Mytilus edulis: one gene and its partner. The protein of the gene in region 1 binds, or shares a complex with, the protein of each later gene. Links are inferred from orthologs where the notes say so. Each region holds a gene or a part of one and is shown on either strand. Other genes may lie near its edges.

Evidence for each region.
Region 2: the proteins of non-structural maintenance of chromosomes element 3 homolog (region 1) and non-structural maintenance of chromosomes element 1 homolog are in contact, whole or in part, in a crystal structure (PDB 7DG2), measured with the Xenopus laevis proteins. The link is inferred for Mytilus edulis from reciprocal best matches to the Homo sapiens genes NSMCE3 and NSMCE1. Residues at the interface, in XP_018121157.1 of Xenopus laevis: Gly57, Glu58, Val60, Gln61, Tyr62, Leu64, Ile65, Lys66, Gln68, Lys69, Val82, Thr100, Gln102, Gln103, Val104, Phe105, Gly106, Phe107, Asn123, Leu125, Gln126, Arg127, Val128, Gly130, Asp131, Gly132, Met133, Arg134, Asp136, Glu137; in NP_001083134.1 of Xenopus laevis: Ile5, Glu7, Gln10, Arg11, Leu13, Gln14, Ala15, Met17, Ser18, His19, Leu30, His33, Leu37, His38, Leu54, His57, Leu58, Pro60, Leu61, Phe62, Met63, Val84, Asn86, Ile88, Thr89, Met91, Ala92, Ser93, Asp94, Gln149.

Annotation. Positions count from the first base shown.
Region 1 is NC_092344.1:12,733,733-12,737,492, reverse strand, and holds the start of non-structural maintenance of chromosomes element 3 homolog, read left to right. Parts: upstream 1-980; 5' UTR 981-995; coding exon 996-1,049; intron 1,050-3,760. UniProt on the Homo sapiens protein: Component of the SMC5-SMC6 complex, a complex involved in repair of DNA double-strand breaks by homologous recombination. The complex may promote sister chromatid homologous recombination by recruiting the SMC1-SMC3 cohesin complex to double-strand breaks.
Region 2 is NC_092344.1:117,754,609-117,758,368, reverse strand, and holds the start of non-structural maintenance of chromosomes element 1 homolog, read left to right. Parts: upstream 1-1,033; 5' UTR 1,034-1,175; intron 1,176-3,760. UniProt on the Homo sapiens protein: RING-type zinc finger-containing E3 ubiquitin ligase that assembles with melanoma antigen protein (MAGE) to catalyze the direct transfer of ubiquitin from E2 ubiquitin-conjugating enzyme to a specific substrate.

The sequences.
Region 1 (3,760 bases):
AGATTTAAATACAACACTGTCACTTAACACACTGCATGGAAAAATGTGCTTTGCCACTCGTGTAAATAATTTTACATATTTGTATATATTATTCTTAACCTTGAAAATAATCAGTAAATTTCAAAGTAATATCAGGAATGTACTAAGGGTTATTGCATGCATAAGGGGAAATATTATCATCAATAGATTTTTATTGAAACACCTTGGTGTGCTATTCATATCATATGCTACAAAGGATACTTGTCCAATTTTTGTGCAGTAACCCTTTTATTGTATATACCAAAGCTTGATAAACATTAACTCTTTCATTGTCTTCTGAAACATATTTTTGTCCAAGATGACACATTGCTAATTTGAAGCTTTTTGCATTAGTGCAATAAAATGATCATATAATACATCATTTCAAACGAATAACAAGTAATGTTCTGTATGAAATTATATGTTCATTTATGATTTTGCAATAGAATACCAATATACATGTATGAAGACATTTCAATGTAAAACAAACCTGCAAATTTTCTGCCTTTCTCAAGTTTATTCTTGTAAAATTAAGGCATAATCCGAATTATACAACCAATATTTCTTCCAGGAATTCCAGCTAATCTAATTTTTATGTCCACAACTGAAAATATAAATTAGATAACAAACATTATATTTTAAATGAATGAAACTTTGGTTATACATGTACTATTTAATATTCAACTGATCTCAAATTACAAAATATCAGTTTTTCAGGTGTATTTTTTAAAACTTAGACATGTTTGTATACCATCTGTTACCCAGTCAATAAAAATAATACTAAAATAACATGCAGTGTCCATGTATGGAATGATATTAAATTATAGTCATTCTAGAACATCCAATCCTTTTTCAGTTTCTAGCCAATCTAGGCAACGTCTTTCTATCATTGTTTTAATTTTGCCGGCTCAAATATTTATTTAAAATTTTGGAAGGAAATCCACATATTTATGAAAAAAGTGCAAAGTTGATTCTGAATGGGTGACCTTCATGACCTTTGTGATTGTAAACCTATTGTCTGTTATGTTCTGGTATGTATATTCATGTAATTTTCTTTTAAAACAAAACTTATCTTCCAAAAAAAAGAAGTATTATTATAGAATAAGATAAGCGAATAATCTGCAGGGCAGATACATTTATTTATGTGTAAAATACTGTAACAACAGTCAGGGCTCTCACAGAAAGAACTTAAAAGGTAATTAAATATTACTTAATCAGGGGCGGATTTAGGCGGTGGCGTGGCGGGCGTGCGCCCCCCCCCCCCCCCCCCCTCCCAAAAAAAATTTGCAAAGCATGGGTTGTCTTCAACTTATTTAAGTATCAGAAGATACCATTCCATCTTTTTTAACATTCATTATATTATATTGTATATATAACAGTCAGTTTAACAGAATTAATGTGATTACTAATCAACTGACCTACATTTTATTTAAGTTCTAAAAATATTGTATACTCCAAAGGAAGGTGTCAAACGCGGAGCTGCGTTTGGTGTCAAACATAATAGATGTTTAGCAGTTAATTTTTTCATTGTATTTGCGCTTTTTATTATCAATTTCTTTGATAATCAAAGTTCCAACTAACTTTTTTGTGGTGTACCTGTATTTCTTTATATCACAACTACCTGCAGCACGTCTTTTAAGCCGGGTTTAGTTAAGATATTACCCGATATTGCTATATAGATAATTTTACAAGTGATGGTGTCTTGATTGTAGATTGGTTTGCATTGGAACACAGAATCAAAATAAAAGGTTTGCATGATCTTCAGCTTCTGTTTTTGGGGCTGCAACTTTATTACTGTAGCTTTATAAACTCATATATACAATATGAATTCCTTAGTGCATGCCTGAGTGAGGGGTGTTTGGAGATTGTTGTGGATTTCTCCAACTTGTAAGACACCTTGCCCTCATAACTCGGAGGTTCTTCGCGGAACAGGGACATATTGTTTTACCTCTGTCCGTCCATCTGTCAGTCAGACACTATATATTTGGTCCAGAGGATTAACTAGGACGCATGCACATCTATTTCTAGTACTTCATTAAATGCAACACCAGTTTTCCCAGCAACTATTGACATACTTTTATGTGGAGGGTCAGCTTGTGTACTCCGGATTGAGGAATGTCTCTATCGATCCTTATTGTTTTCTGTCCCGTTTTGAGGAAATATATGGGGATAGTCTCAATGAATAGAAGCTCAAAGATTTCTTGTTAAGTATGGTAATTATAGATTGTTTTCAGAGGAGGATTTCGTCGGTTTCAGCTTGAAACGTAAATTTCTCGCTAATTTTACCACACAATAGTTCGTGATATCTACATTGCACCCCCTTTAGAAGAATATTTCAATAATTTTACCTCAAAATTTTTTTTCGCCTCGTTCCGCTCAGCAAACAAAAAATTTGCGCCCCCCCTAACATTAAATCCTGGATCCGCCCCTGTTAATGTTTTCTCTTGATAATCTAATCACCTAAATCAATAATATTTGTGATCAGAAAAATAGCATTGACATTTTATCATGTTTATTGTTTATATGTTTGATGTTTGATGATTAGTTTTGTAAATGGTAAACACATGCACATGTCTCACGGATATAAAAGATAAGAACATGTGCTTATTAATCAATAGAATCAAATGATAAGTTTTATGAACACTGACCAGCTATTTAATTAACAATGATTAAATTAACACTAAAGGAAAAAAGAGGGGTTATTATCATGTTTATTGCAGAAAAAGAAGAAGATAAAAGTTGCCAGATCTGACTTTTGATACACAGGGTGTACATCTTCTTTATACAATGTATATCTCTAATTGCAGAGAGGAAATGCTTTCTTACTGGAATTATTATTGATTTACAATAAAAGTCCAATACTGAAGTATCCCAATGATACCTATATCTCACATGTCTGAATTACAAATGTATACTGAACTTGAAGTTCATGAGGTTCGAGTACAAAAATCCTATTTATTCACAACTTTTCATAGGCATCACTGTCTTTAAATGTCGAAATAATCCCCCAGATTTCGCTACAATAAAGGAGAATAGGGGCTACTAAGGAATCAAAAAGTTTTCCCAGAAGTTTACAAGGGTTATCTAATCCTATTGTTTTCTTTATTTTAAAATATGCTTTCCTAGCTTTTTCAAATGGCGAAGTGATGGCGACATTAAAACTGCCATTATATCTAATACTAATACCCATGTAACAATACCGGTAAGTTTCAATATAATTTAAGCAATATCAACAAATTTTAGGTCAATTAGATTTTATGTGATTTCTTTATGATTGTGAATTAAGTTTTATAAAATTCTGGGAAGAATTGTACACATGAGAGCACTAACAATCATTGACAATGCAACTTTCCGTATAATTTAAGGGTTTCCAAGGGACACAACTCTTTTAAACCAGATCCTCCACAGGGCGCAGCTTTATACGACCGCAGAGTTTGAACCCTGGACATTGGGGCAAGTATGGACACAACATTCAAGCTTGATACAGCTCTGAATTTGGATTGTGATTAAAACAGTTGACACAACACAGGTTTCTGACACATAATGAATGTGGTCTAAGAACTTGAACTTAAAAACTTTAAATTTTAAATTGACATTACCTATTATGGTCCAATATCCAAAATCTAAATACATGGTTAGATTCAGCATATCAAAGAACCCCAAGAATTCAATTTTTGATGAAATCAAATAAAGTTCAATTTTGGACCCTTAAGACCGCAATGTGGACCAATATGATAACCGG
Region 2 (3,760 bases), about 110 Mb from region 1:
AAAATTAATAAAGAATCAGAGAAATACTCCAGCTTAAAATACATATCTGGTGAATATATGGCAAAAAGAATACATCCAATTCTTACAACAAATACATCAAATTGTAGAGACATAATCAAATTACCCATTAGGACCAGATTTGCAACTGGCAATTACATCTTACAGACAAATAGAGCAAAATTTAATCAAAATGATGTATCTGCCGTCTGCAGAGTTTGCGGTAAAGAGGATGAAACCATTTCACATTTTCTGATTTCATGTACACCTTTAGAAACTGAAAGAATGTCTCTTTTGAAATCTCTCCGAGAACAATATATCAAAGTGCTAAAACTACTAAACATTAATATGCATGATATAGATGTAGACTTCATCCATGTTATTATCAATCCATATCATCTAGTAAATTATTGTGGTACCTCTCTAACCAGTGAACTTTGTGCTTTTATTAACATCCATATAGAGCCTGCTTGTAGAACATTAATATATAAGCTTCATTTACACAGATACAAACTTTTAAATTTAGATCAGAAAAGATTTAGAAAAAATAATTTAAGATCATAGCCCTATTTAATGAAAAAAAAAGTTGTGTGTGGACTGCAAATCTCATATTTTCTATTAAGGACTCATTTTTAGATTTTATAGATGAGAACGGGTGTGATTTGTGTGTAAAGATATACCGACATTTGTAAATAGTGTACATCGTTATATATATTCTATTGGTGATTGGATATTGTAATTCACTACTGTATGTCATTATATTGGTGAAGGGATATATTGACTTCATACTGAAGGTGTGCCTATAATATTGGCAGAAAATATACAGATACAGTGAAACTACCGTGTGATAAGGGTGCTCCGTTGTGGAGGAATCTACGAAGAAAAGAAAGAAGGTCCGACATAACAGGCTATGTTTTAGGTATTTCAAAATTAAACTCTAAATTTTAAACTAAATGTTACATGACGATTTAAATGTATAAGTCTTAAATAAAAATAAAAATCATAGAGTTGACACAAAATCATGCAGAGTTTATAATTTTTAACAGAGTTGATCTTTCTCTTAGCTCATTATAGATTCGAAATTATATGTATGGTACCAGTCAATTATTTGGATTTGGCGGGAACCAGGAAGAAAAATAAACAAAACAGACACAAGAAACAAACACTTGCTATTTATTGTAAGTCACTGCTGGGAACAGTATATCTAATCATGGAAGTATTATATTGACATACTTCCATGATCTAATATATATGTTCCTGGTCACTGTTACATTTGATTTAATCAAGGATTTGTATAATAAGACCTTCTTACTATAGAGGGGGGATAGGACCTTTATCGGGACTCCGGGATCGCGTGTTTTTAAGCTCGGGATTTCGGGATTGACCCTTTCGGGATCCGGGAATTCTTTTTTTCGGATTTCGGGACGTCGGGATTTACTTTAAATTTAAATTCGGTAACTCGGGATTTTGTTTTTTTAAGTCCGGGATTTCGGGATCAGGACCCCTCCTATCCCCCCTCACTATACAAATGCTTGATTTAATACTAATAGATTCACTTTTGCAAATAGATTCATTCGTGTTCTGTATGTATCCCCTGAGATTACTGTGTTATAGGAGGGTGGTAAAGGGGGCCCTGAACACTGAAACATGTGAAATAAAAATCGCAAAAACGTTGCACGGAAAATAAAAAACGGAAAAACGAAGCACGAGAAATAAGATCGTAAATATTAAAGTCATAAGAAACGAGTGACTGGTGAAAAATAATGTTTATCCAATTCTTGAACCAGTGCATGTATATATTGTGACAAATCTGGACTGATAATTGTTATTATTTAACCTATTATTTATTGTATATTACATATATCTATTTGAATATTGCCAGGTGGTCAACTTCTCGGGAGTGCACAAATACTGATAAATGCATTGACTTTCATACTCATGATTCACAGGCGCTTGGGTCTATGATACAGATATTATTATTTTTTTTTTTTATTAAAATATTCAATTTTCTATATTTATAATACATATCTATCACTTTTGTGCATGTCTCACCTAGTTTCGAGTGATTTAAACGACCCAGTGAAAAAACCCAATTTTACTATCCATACTAAGAAACAAAAAGGCAACTAACTCGACGCCATTTTTCTGCTATCTATAAATAAATAGATTGACCTACCTGGATTCCCCGACGATTTCTCTAGGAAAGCGTGCCTTCCTTGCCGTCAGATCGCACACATCGTTGATATTTATCAAATTGGTATTGTTCGTATCATTTTTAGTCCATCTCCAGCATATAATAAAAAGATTAACTTTTTTGACTAATTTCAAATTTACGTGCCCGGAAGTTGACTGTTTTTCCCGAACTTTTGTTAAAGGGAAGTAATATTTTCCCGGACTTTTTCGGAACATCTCTCCAAGTACGTATGAAAATAATAAAGTGATACGATGATTTCCGAACTTTTACCAAAAAGGCGCAACTTTCCAATTACCGGAAAAGAATCTGTCATCATATTCAGTCTGAAATGATGACAATTCAACCAAAAGAAGATACTCATAAAAACATTGATTCATGATAATTTATAAATATACAAATACTCACACAAAATTGACTTATGAGTGGAATTAAAAAAAATTAAGCCATTGACCATTTGATCTGATATTTTTATTTATTTGGTGAAAAAGGGGGGGTGGGGGGGGGGCAAGGAAATTTACTAATATTTTCTTTCCACGAAAATGTTATTGACTTTGTTTTAATTATTACAAAACATGGGTCATGTTAACTGAAGTAAAAAAAAAAGGGGGGGAGGGGACAATATTTCCAAATTTTGCAGTTCCCCTTTCTAACATAAAATCAAAACTGTGATTTTTGAAAATTAAAAGATTATGACCACTAACAATCAAATTAGGGGCTTGATCTTGTTCGATATTCATCATATCTGTTTGTTAACATATAGTATTAGTTCGGAAGTCATCGTATCACTTTGTTATTTTCATACGTACTTAGAGAGATATTCCGAAAAAGTCCGGGAAAATATTACTTCCCTTTAACAAAAGTTCGGGAAAAACAGTTAACTTCCCGGCACGTAAATTTGAAATTAGTCAAAAAAGTTAAAATCTTTTTATTATATGCTGGAGATGGACTAAAAATGTTACGAACAATACCAATTTGATAAATTTCAACGATGTGTGCGATCTGACGGCAAGGAAGGCACGCTTTCCTAGAGAAATTGTTGGGGAATCCAGGTAGGTCAATCTATTTATTTATAGATAGCAGAAAAATGGCGTCGAGTTAGTTGCCTTTTTGTTTCTTAGTATGGATAGTAAAATTGGGTATTTTCACTGGGTCGTTTAAATCACTCGAAACTAGGTGAGACATGCACAAAAGTGATAGATATGTGTTATAAATATAGAAAATTGAATATTTTAATAAAAAAAATAAAAAAAAAAATATCTGTATCATAGACCCAAGCGCCTGTGTCATGATTTAAACTATTTGTACTTTGCAATCGATAAGGGTCAGTTTTATATGTATATCTTGGTAATGTATACCTATGAAATACTTTGATTATTCCGTCATATAGCCTCACCGGACACAATTACGAACGATTTTTGAACTTAGATTAATATTTTTTATGTAACGTGACGGTACCCAAATTGCACCTATTTTGACAGTTTTTTCATGTACATGTTTTTTATGATAAAGACAAAAATGTCCATTCTGTGTTCATTTTGTAGCCGTATCCTTCTTTATTATAAAGGTACA